Linked DNA regions of Rattus norvegicus. Each later gene encodes a partner of the first gene's protein in a complex. Links are inferred from orthologs where the notes say so. Each region holds a gene or a part of one and is shown in the gene's direction. Other genes may lie near its edges.

Region 1 (4,365 bases):
GCAACCACATGGTGGCTCACAACCATCTGTAATGGGATCTGATGCCCTCTTCTGGCCTGCAGGGTATATGCAGATAGAGCCCTCACATACCTAAAATCAATCAATAAATAAATCTTTCATAGTCTTAAGATTTATATATTATGTATAGAGTACTCTGCGGGTTGAGGGACATTTTTAGAGGGGTCGCCTAAGACCCTTGGAAAGCACAGATCTTTACATTACGTTACAGTTACATAACAGTAGCCAAATCCCAGTCAGGAAGTGTTGACGAAGGTAATTCCTATGGCTGGGGAATCACCACAGCGTGAGGAACTGTATTAAAAGGTTGCAGAGTTAGGACAGTTGAGAACCGCTGACCTAGGAGGCCCTGACTCCTTCCAGGTCTGCTAATGTAAGGAACAGAAGGGAAGACCTGTAAAGGATGCTCAAGAAAGAAGCGAGGAAAGCGGGCATGTCCTGAAGCCCGGTTAAGTCTGAAGCCACCTTGGCCAGGGATCAAGCAAGACCCCCTGGGCAACAGGCGGTTGGTGAGCAGGCACCACCTAGTGGTCAGTCTCCAAAATGACATCTCTAGGGAACTGGGGCAATGTCCCCCAACAGGCCAGGTTGAGAGCTTGTTTAAAAGCCACCTTATTTATTTTGGGTGCCACAGGCAGTGCAGTTTCTGTTTTCCTTGGCTGGTTCTGCAGGCACTGTTTTTCCTCCCTGGAAGTCATAAAAAGCACTTGGAAATGTTAAAGTTTTCCCAAGCTGTGCGGATCTGGCCTGATGGTGGCCTGCCTGGTGACCTTTTCAGGCTCCGAGAGGTAAAGCTGACTGGGGACCTGCTGCCAGCTGCTTGCTTTGCAGACATCACCTCCTTCTGGTCTCCATTGACTGTTCCTGTCCCGCCCTGTGCACCAGGGACCTGCACACCAGACAGGTCCCCCCACCCTGTAGCTGGGACCCAGATTCAGGGATTATTATGGGCTGAGTGGTGAACACAAGGCCATCTCTGTGAGTCTCCATCCCCCTCTCCCGTAATATGGACAGAGAGGTGTCTGAACTGTTCTCGGGCCGCTGAGAATTTATGAAAGTGAAAGGAGTCTGTCTCTTCTTCTAAAACATATGTGGGTAGACAGTACTAGACCAGGCAGGAGAGGCACCGTGGGTGCCTTTTCCTAGATCACCATCTTCCTCCTCACAGGGCTTTCAGAGTCCTCTTCAGGTCTCACTCTTCCCGTGGGCAGTCCCACCCCAGAGGCCAAGACCCCGCTCTTTTCTGTCACATGGTCTGTCCAACTCCAGCTTCCTCATCCACCCTGATTTTGACAATTCTTTCATTCGAGAATCACACCAAAGTTTCATTTTCTGTTTCTTCAGAAAGCCAGAGGGCGGGGAAGGGGTGCAGCCAGATGGGTATTAGTTTCCGGGGTGGTAACAGCTGGTGTCTGCAGGTCCAAACAAGCATTCTTTCTTGTGGACTCAGAGCCCCAGGCCTGGCCACAGTGCTGGGACCTGCCACCCCCACCCCTAAAAGTGCCCCACGGCTGCTGGGAGCATGGCGGAGGCTTCTGTGGACCTGGGCACGGGAGGTAAGTTAAACTCTTCCTTCACCACCTTTGGGTCCTGGGTGAAGTTTCTACGGCTCCTGGCTGTTTCCTTAGCCCAGACGGCAGCAGGACTCTGAGGTCACCACAGAGAAGTCAGCTTGCTTCAGGGATCCTGTGCCCCAGATCCTTCATGTCCTCTTACCTCATAGATGAGGTCACCAAGGCCTGTGACAGGCCTGGGGCTCTGAACTGTCATCTCGAGAGAGGACTTTGCTTTGATAGGAAGATGTGACTTTGATTTTGTAGTCAAGCTTTTCTCCTGCCCTAGTCAAATCCTTGCTGCAATCATGTAGTCCATCTAGGGGCTTCTGGGCTATGGGAGGCTACGGGGTGCAGGGCTGTGTGAGGCTGCGATGCTGTGGACAGGATTTAATTTACTGCTTGTCTAGGTCCTTCTGGGTTATCCTTTCTTATTTCAGACCTGGAAACATACTAGAAGTTGCTGCTCATAAGCTATCAGGGAGGGGCCAGGCCAGGTGCCAGTTTCTTTCCTGGGCAAAGAAGACCAGGAACTAAAACTCGCCTGACTCCTGTAGTTTCCTAACACTACTAACCTGTCCAGCCTTACCAACTCCAGTCTTCTGCTTCCTAACGTCCCGCTTTCAGACCCTGCAACCAGTCCTTCAAGCCCACCCTTTGGGGAAGGCTTTGCCTCTCTTGTGTGTCTTTAGGGGTCAGTGGGGGAGGGGAGGGGAGGGGAGCCTGCTACACGACACACTCCCCAGCAAAGGTTTCTCAAGGCAAGGCAAAGCCAACCCAGGAATAGAGATGCTAAGTCCTCTAATTCCAGCACTGCAGTGGGGGTGGATCTGGGGCTGAAGCAGGAGGATTGCTGTGAATTTCAAGCTAGCCTGAGCTATATGGTAAGACTTTGTCAGGAGAGGAAAGAAAGAAAGTTAAAGGCAGACACACGGACAAGCAGACGAACCTGCTGAAAGGAGCATGAGGTGGGACTTGGGGGACCCTCGGGGTTAGGCACAGAGGAGGCTGGTTGGCTAGCAGAGGCCCATCGAAGCTCCCGGTGGAGGGATCTGGGGGCAAGCTTTCTGGAGTTGGTGGCCATCTGGAAGATGGCTTCAAGGCCCAGGTAAAAGAACTGAGCTGGGTTTTCCGGGGCTCCTGCTCTATCAGGCATGGGAGGAGAGACCCATTTCTCTTATCTGCTGGACTCCTGACCTGGGAACACCCACACCATAGATGTGGGTGCTGAGCTGGAGAGAAAGGGAGTCCCTGGCCGGGCTGGGAGAGACATCAAGACACCACGGAGGGACTTCAGGGCCAGACTTGGTTTCACACCTCTCCCTCTTGCTCCATCGTCTGAGGGCTGAGGGTTCCTACCTGCTTGACTTCCACATAGTACACAGGGCAGGCTGCATATGACTTTACCACTCCAGACATCTATCTGTGGAGCCAGCGTTCACCTGACTGACACCCTCGCCTCCGACTGGTATCCTCGCTTACTGTCTGCTTGGCCCAGGTCACGGGTGCCTTCTCTGCTCTAGGGTCTCTCCGGAGATCCCTCCTGTGCCCGGAAGCTTGGATGCAGGGTGTCCCCGGGGACTAGGCTTGACTCAGTTCTTCTCTGTGTTCCTCCCCGAGACAACCTGGAGCAGAAGATCCTGCAGGTGTTGAGTGATGCTGGTAGTCCTGTGCAGATCGACCAGCTGTTGAAGAAGTTACAAGTGCCCAAGAAAATCCTCAACCAAGTCCTTTACCGCCTGAAGAAAGAGGGCCGAGTGTCCTCGCCGGCGCCAGCGACGTGGTCCTTAGGTGGAGATGGGGCTTCCGGAGATGGGGCTCCCGAGATCCCTGAGGACTCCGCTGCCCAGCCTAGCCTTGGTAATCTGTCACGTCGGCAGAGCAGAAGCCCCTCCCCCCACCACCACATACACCCCTTAAGAGCCATCTTGTCATAGGCAAGCCCAGATTCAGGCTTGGCTTCAAATCTGAGCTCGGCCATCCCCTCTCTGTCTCTGGATTTCTCCCGGCCAATGGAGCTAATGTTGAGCCTAGGGCTTAGCCATAGAAGGCTTGCAGTAGACAACAGCAGGGTCAAAGACACAACCCAGGCAATAGTCACAGCGAGAGTGAGGGCTGACGGTAAGTAAGGATTCACTCAGAGCCTTCGGGTGACTTTGAGAGCCACGGAGAAGAAAGGACCCACAGTTCCAAGTGCTGACACTGCCCCCGCCCCCCCCCCCCCCACACCAGAGCCATCTTGCCTTCATTCAACCCTCAGACAGAGACAGGAAAGGAAGCAGCCTCAACCTTCAACAGACAGCATCCATGACCCAAGCAGATCGGAAGCCCTGGGACCCAGCCTAATGTGCTGTCCCCCAGCTCTCCGGAGAAACTATTCTGTTTTTAATGGAGCAGGGCATCTCCTGTCTTCAACTGACACATCCTTCTTCCAGTCCCAAGACCCTAATGAGATGTGGGTGCAGCTCCAGAGAGTCCTGGCCTGCATCTCGGTGCATGCTGGAGGCCTCCCCAGACCCCTGAAGCTCCATGGGAGTGTCAGAGGCCAGACTCACTGTTAGAAGAGAGAGGTTCTAAATGGTGAGATGTGGGCTCTGACACCCCTGCGTCAGTCTGCGCCAGTCTCTAGGGTGAGAGCCTCATCCGCTTGGTCTCCAGAGGACCACTGTCCCCAAGATGACCCAATATGTGCTTCTGACAGACCCTCGCCATGTCCCTGGGCTTCACGAGTATCCCAGGCCACAGGCAGTAGGTGGTGGGTAGATGCAAGCCCAGGGCTCTCTTCCCACGAAGC
Region 2 (3,565 bases), on another chromosome or scaffold:
TGTTGGCTAGTATCAATTACAAGGAGATACCTTGTTTCAGGCTCTCCGATTGGACCGGGTGGCTGCTTGTATTCTGTGGTCAAATAAAAATATTAACTACATTGTATGGTTTAATAAGATCACTAACTGGACTTAGCAGTGAGGTGGAGCTGCTGGCTAGAGTCTTTGATCCTCTTTAATTAACTAAGTTTGCAGGATAAAGGTCCTAAATGGGCAGCATTGCTACTTAGATTCTCCATTTGTGTATGGCCGAAGATTGGGGTCTGAGGATGGGAAGGATGCTGCTGCTGGGACACTTGGTATGGGCATGACCTGAGACGACCACACACACACACACACACACACACACACACACACACACACCCCACACCAGCCCACCCCACACACCCATGTATAAAATAAAATCGTAGACTTTTATCCCAGTTTGGCTCACGCTGAACCGCAGGCTCGTCACTCTCATCACTTCTCGGTCACTAGGTTTGGGGAGACCAGGTACTCTACTCCAAAGAAATATTGGACACACTTGCCTTTAGCAAGAAGCCCCCCCCCCTTTTTTTCAAACACTGGGGCTGAGTGGTGTGATTTTCTCAATAGGCTGTGGCTAGCAATGTCAGATGGTTCCTTTCAAAGACATTTGTGTGCATGAGATTGCCTATAACCTTCAGGAAGCCTGATATGTTGCTCTGAGGCTGGGTGGGGTCAGCATTCCACAGTGGAGGAAAGGCAGATTTGGATGCTGTGCTCTACACACATGCATATGTGTATACCCTTACCCAGCAAGTCTCAGGTCTTTTACAGAGTAGTAAGACCATAGGAAAGTTGACTATGATTCAAAGCCAACAGATCTGTTGCATGAGGCTCTTAAAGGTGCTATTGGATATTCTGTTTGGGTGACTCCACAGTAAGACCCACTTCATTTTGTTTATGTCTAACTTATCCCTGTTATTCTAGTCTTGCCAGTGTATTCAATATTTCTTAAGGGATGAGGTGAGAATAAACCTTCTACAATGCCTACATTATAGTGGGGTGCCACATGGGCACTCCCTGCCCTTCATCCTCACCATCGAAGTTGTAGAACCATGGGGTTCTCTCTATACAGTACTGTCCCATTTTGGGGGGGAGATAATGTGGTTAAAAATGAAAACATTCCACTCAATCTCTAGAGGAACTTTTCTCAGTCTTATGGTTCTGTTGCATTCAGAGATTTTCCCAATGTGCCTGTCTGTGGATAGTCATGTGTTGTATTCCTGTGAGGACCTGAAGATGGGAAACTTCTAATCCATCACCCTGCCACTGTCTCCTTTCTAATTTTCTTCTTGAAAGTTAATGGTATTTTAATGATATTTTAATTAAAATTAGAATTCTAATGAGAATTCTAATTCTCAGCTATGCTTATCATAGATTTTAATGTGTCTTTTTCTTGTTTCTTCTTTTTTTCTTCTTTTTCTTCTTTTTTCTTTCTTTTCTCCTTCTCCTCTGCCTCTTCCTCCTCCTCCTCCTTCTTCAGCTGAAAGTAAATATGTGACAAATACAAAGAAGAGAGGAACACAGAAAGTAGAAAATAGAAGTCAAGCTAAAAACTGTTCTGTTGCTTCTGCCACCTGCAGTGACAAAGACTTCAAGGGACACTCTGCTACAGAAGTCTGTCCTCAAGTTAAGGTAGGCTAGTGCCACTCTTATCAGAGCATTTTGTCATCACTATCCCCTCATCCACCACATAAAGTCTTCTGCTCTTTGTCTCAGAACATACAAACCAAGAAAACAAGGCTATTATAGGAAAGATATGTCTGCATTACAAAAAGAAAAGTCACTCAAATTTATCAGTGTCCATGCCCAGGAAGCTCCTAATTTCTGCCATGCTCTGGACATAATAACATGTTGCTATGTTAACCTCTATTTGAAGAAAACTCTGCCGGGACCTTATACAGTGAGTAATTTTCAGGGTGCTCTTATCACTAGTTCTTTTGAGAAGGTTTAGGATGAGAGAGAACGGGGAGAGTTCTAGTTCAATAGATTGCAGCAAAGAGTTCAACCTATCCATGGGAGACTTGGGGGCTAAGAATGCCCTTCAGGATTGTCATGATGTGGGTAGAAAAGACAGTTCCTTTAGTCACGATGTGCCTGCTCTTATTGTGGTGAAATAAATGGCTCTTTGTAGCAGAGGGAATAAAACTGGAAGACAGTCCTTGTCCCTTAGTCCTAATAAAGTAGCATGTACCACAAAATCCACTAAGCATCTTCAATTTCATTTTCTGTAATGAAAATGTCACGTAACTTTACAGAGGAGTCAGCTTAGGGTATGGGCACCATTCTATGTAGAGCACCCAACCATTTCTTCTGTGTTTGGCTCAGAAATTTCCAGAATTGTCAAGAAAACAATACAGTACCCAAGTTTAAATGTTACAATTGAACAAGTAGACATAAAAATACATATTGTATAGTCTCTGAAAAATCCAAATAAAATGCCTAGGACTGAAGACATATTCTAAAGTAGTTCTCAGTGCGGGAGCTCTGTGCACACCACTTATTGAAGAGCCAAATAAATGCTCAGCATTGGAGGGAAAACTATGCTGTCATAGAATCACAAGGAGATAGAATCTAATTCAGCCCCTCACAATGATTCGGGTGTCTGACACAGTCTTTTCATAGCAAAGAAGGGTTCTGATTCAGGAATTTTGTCTCCAGAGTCAGTGCACTGCCCCATCTGAATACTGAGCGCAGAGCATTCCTTTGATGTCCTTTCAATCTAGGTAGTTTCAAGTCTCTACTCTCTTCCTAACGTCTCCATTTTCCCTTCAGCTCAGCTTCTTTGTTTCTGGGGCCTTCCTGAGAATGAAGGCTGCCTGAGTGGATCCATAGCTAACATCTTCTTTCTCTTGTCACAGCCTCAGAAGAAACAGATGGTGGCAGAACAGGAAGCCATCAGAGAAGATTTACAGCAAGATTCACTAGTAGTCATGGTGCTGAAAGCTATGAATCCCTTTGAGTGTGAGACCCAGGAAGGAAAACAAAAGATATTCCATGCCACAGTGGCCACAGAGACAGAATTTTTCTTTGTAAAAGTTTTAAATGCACAGTTTAAAGATAAATTTATTCCAAAGAGAACAATTCAAATATCAAATTATCTCCGTCACAGTTACTTTGTGGAGGTCACCAGTTCCTCAGTTGTGGTTGATGTTGAATCTAGCCACAAAGTCTGCGTTCCTAATAACATTATGAAGAAAGCTGGAGAAACTCCTAAGATTAGTAAACTGAAAACTCTGCCGTGCGGGACAATTGTGAATGGCTTATTTAAAGTCCAGAAGGTAAGTTCCTATATGCAATTTTATATTGATCAGTAAGAATAATATAACATATAACACCTATTGGAACTTTAGAAATTAACTTTCAATGTTTTCACCCTAAATAAAAGATAAAACAATAAAAATAAATTTAAGAGTTGATTTTAAATAGTTTTAACAATTTTTTTTACACAAAGTTAAGGGTTTGTAGGGTGGTAATTTGCCAAAACTTGTGTACAAAGCTGGGAAATTTTTATTTTGTTATTTTGATTGTTCTGCTTTTG
Region 3 (3,565 bases), on another chromosome or scaffold:
GGTCTTCTCCGGGAAAGGAACACCCAGACTGCCCCTGTGCTGGGCAAGGGGAGGGGAAATGGAAAAATCTAGAGGTGTGCTCACTTTTTTGGGGGGGGGGGCGTTTCACTTCTTGAAATAAACCGGAAATTCTTTGCATTACCCCTGCCCTGGTGGCGAGGGGGGGGAGAGGAGCTGGGGGGGGGCGCTGGGAGGGTGGGTGCAGGCCTGAATTAATAAGAAGGCAGGTTCACACATCTGTGTGTATCATGGTGGCTCACACTTAAAGCCACAGAAGGGTTGCGTACACAAGTAGGTGGGAAGGGTTGTTATTATGGGAAGCAGCACAAAAACACCTCACCCTGCCTGGAAGTGGCCACCTCCTATAGCCAGGCATGACTTCCAGTGGAAGGATGGGGATGTCAGCCCACCCACAAAGTTTTGCCCTGCCTATAAGATGTGTTTGTAGTCTGGGGCTCCTCAAACATTGCACCTCACAAATCTCAGGTTAATGAAAGTGAAAAAAAGGCATGGGCTGGGCTGTGAGGGGACTCCAGGAGTTTATAAACAGACTGTTGCCATATGAGTTCTCCCTGGTGGGGTGGGAGGGAGGGTAATGAATGAAGGTTCAGTGAAAGAACAGAGCCCTGAGTACACCCTGGCAACGTGGTGTGATTGTAGGTGGGCGATGCATGCACACAACACAGGGAATATTTGGTGGCAGAACACAGGGCAGCTGGTTGTGTTGAGAGCCTTTGGTGTTGGCTAGAGTGGGAGGAAGTGTGTGTGTGTGTGTGTGTGTGTGTGTGTGTGTGTGTGTGTGTGTGTGTGTTCAGACCCCCTTTTATTCTAGAACCAAATATTCAACCTTCTTCCAGAAGGAAATTGTGAGAGAACATGGATCCGTGCTTGGAAGGGAGTCAGCTCGATGTGCACTGTGGAGAATAAAATTTCCCCAAATCCTTGCACCTGGATCTTGACCTATATCAACGTAGGAGCATCAAGATTCTTTCAGTTAAAGTTAGTCAGGATTCAAATGTGGTAGGACTTCTCTCCAATGGGTTGGTTGGACCCGACTCTGTAGACGTCCACCACTATGGCAGCCTCCTCCTGGGGCTCACCAGTCAGGAATAGTTGGCTATTTTATGGAGGCCCTGGGAGTGAAGCCTTCTATAATGGTGTAGTGGTGAGATCTAGAACCTGTTTCTAAAGTGTCTCTGTTTCCTGCCATAGGGTTATGCTCTTTAAGCTCTCAGAAGACATGGACAAGGAGGATTTGAAATCTTTTAAGTTCCTTTTGATCACTGAGATCCCTAAATGTAAACTGCAAGACAACTCGGTAAGACCTAGTCTCCTGAAGATGGGTCACCAGGGTTTCTGAGACCAGAGAGCACTGCTAACCACAAACTGTATTCAAGGCTGCATTGTTGTTGTTTTGAGACACGGAATCATGTAGCCCAGGCTAAATCCAAACTTGCTATGTAGCCAAGGTTGACCCAAAACTTCTGATCTTCCTGCATTTACCTCCTGGGTGTTGGGATTACTGACCTGTGCCACGCCTCCTGATTTATATGGTTCCAGGATGTGGAACTCAGAACTTTCTGCACAGTAGGCAAGCGCTCTGCCCACTGAGCTATCCCCTGTGTTCTCACAGGAAGAGAGTGGTTAGGAAAGGTAGTTACGGCTCTAGTGCCTCAGCACAGTGAAGTGTCTTGCTCAGCCCCATGGGGCAGCGCCTGAGAGAGCAAGGCATGCTGTTCAACAACACAGGGGACCCAGCCAAGGGGAAAAGGTAGCCGCGGGTCACATTTCCCCACTTCTGCTGCCCTTGAAACACATCATATTTGCTTGTTTGTCTACCCCTCGCCCCTGCCCCAGTGTGCATTATGTGTCTTTACGAGTAGGTTGTATGATGTATGTGTCTGTGTCTACATGTTGTGTATATTGTGGGTGTTTCTTATGTATATGTGTGGTGTATGTGCCTGAGTGTGTGTACCCCTGTGTGGCTTCTTTGTTGGTCTGAGTCTATACATGTGTGGTGCCTCTGTGTGTGGGTTTTTCTTACTCTGTGAATCAGTGTGTCTTTGTGTGCTGTGTCTAAATTTGATGTATGCTTTGTCCAGATATATCTCTGTGCATTTGTTTCGGATACACGCGAACACAGGTGTGTGGCATCTCTCTGTGTGTTTGGTGCCCGTGACTCTGTGTGTATTAACTAAGGTTTAGAAGTAGATAAGGTACCAGGGGCAATACGGGGTAGAATGAAATCTCCAGGACTGTCCCATCCACATTCCTCAGGCTGGTCCATAGAGGAAGCCTTTCTCATACTGTTTGAGAACAAGACCTGGGGACTGGGTGACACCTGACATGGTTTCTTCATCTTCCCATCTTTTAAAATACTTTTAGGCCTTCCTGATTACTGTCAACTGTGAGAGATCAGGACGTGCTTGGAGGAGGGAGGGGGATCTACTTGAGAAATAAGGCTGAAGAAGTGGGGACTAAACCAAGCCCCTAATCCCAAAGCCCGTGCGCCCCCAGCCATTCATGCTTTCGCTCTCCTCCACAGAGCCTGCTTGATATTTTCGTAGAGATGGAGAAGAGGACTATCCTGGCAGAAAACAACTTGGTTACCCTAAAATCAATCTGTTTCCGGGTCAACAGGAGCTTGCTGGGAAGGATCGACGATTACGAACGATCAAGCACAGGTAGCTAGCTAACCACTGCGAGTCAGCAAAGCCCTCAGAGAAACAGCTGTTTCTGATCAAGTTTTTCTTTTTCAATTCAGAGAGAAGAATGAGCACTGAAGGAGGGGAAGAGCTGCCAGTTTCTGTTTTGGATGGTAATGCCTGCAGATACACTCCTTAGATTCTGAGGTGCTTGGTTTCCGATTTCCTCTCTTCCTCTTCCCACCACCTTCTGCCACATCCTGAGTAAGATGAAAGTTCAGTGGCTACTTGCCACCTCTGCTTGTCACCTCTGCTTGTCACCTCTGCAGCTCTCTGACAGCCCCATGGAAACATCTGAAGTGAACCCACAGTTACTCTATAAGAGGGTCTTAACTCTGCTCTGGCCTCTGCTTTTGAAGAGAGTTGGAGGGAGCTAGACTCGAATTATTTTCCTGAACATTCTTTTGTTTTGTTGAGACAGGGTCTTTCTACATAGTCCTAGTTGTTTTGGAACTCTCTATGTGGACCAGGCTGGCCTTGAAATCACAGAAAACTACCTAACTCTGTCTTGAGTGTTAGGATCAACACCTGACTTTTTTCCAGAGCACTCAAGTTTCTTCAAGTTTCTCTGCTCTGTGAGACGCCCCTCAGCCAAGTGTGCATAGTCCTTTTAGTCTCCTGTTAAGTCCAGGCTCCCAGGTTCACACTTGCCCGCGTTCCTCCATTGTGTGCCTGCCTCACCCTAGTATACTCAAGCCAAGTTGCCTATCTCATCCCTGTCCTCTGCTTTCTTACCTAGGAGTCGAGGTAGAACAAACAGAAGGGTTCCTCCAACGTTTTGTTGTTGGAGCAGGGTGTCTCAGTTAGGAGTTCTATTACTGTGAAGAGACACCGTGACCACAGCAATTCTTATAAAAGAA

What was found. The genes of interacting proteins can lie anywhere in the genome.
Region 2: Zbp1 (region 1) and Aim2 share a complex: the UniProt entries of both Homo sapiens proteins name them as parts of the AIM2 PANoptosome complex. The link is inferred for Rattus norvegicus from reciprocal best matches to the Homo sapiens genes ZBP1 and AIM2.
Region 3: Zbp1 (region 1) and Casp8 share a complex: the UniProt entries of both Homo sapiens proteins name them as parts of the AIM2 PANoptosome complex. The link is inferred for Rattus norvegicus from reciprocal best matches to the Homo sapiens genes ZBP1 and CASP8.

What each region holds. Positions count from the first base shown.
Region 1 is NC_086021.1:182,419,193-182,423,557, reverse strand, and holds the start of Zbp1 (Z-DNA-binding protein 1), read left to right. Parts: upstream 1-1,540; coding exon 1,541-1,574; intron 1,575-3,191; coding exon 3,192-3,431; intron 3,432-4,365.
Region 2 is NC_086031.1:88,433,063-88,436,627, forward strand, and holds part of Aim2 (interferon-inducible protein AIM2), read left to right. Parts: intron 1-1,507; coding exon 1,508-1,659; intron 1,660-1,743; exon of another isoform or gene 1,744-1,783; coding exon of another isoform or gene 1,784-1,927; intron 1,928-2,885; coding exon 2,886-3,305; intron 3,306-3,565. UniProt on the Homo sapiens protein: Sensor component of the AIM2 inflammasome, which mediates inflammasome activation in response to the presence of double-stranded DNA (dsDNA) in the cytosol, leading to subsequent pyroptosis.
Region 3 is NC_086027.1:67,788,962-67,792,526, forward strand, and holds part of Casp8 (caspase-8), read left to right. Parts: intron 1-1,212; coding exon 1,213-1,318; intron 1,319-2,545; coding exon 2,546-2,684; intron 2,685-2,764; coding exon 2,765-2,818; exon of another isoform or gene 2,819-2,909; intron 2,910-3,565. UniProt on the Homo sapiens protein: Thiol protease that plays a key role in programmed cell death by acting as a molecular switch for apoptosis, necroptosis and pyroptosis, and is required to prevent tissue damage during embryonic development and adulthood.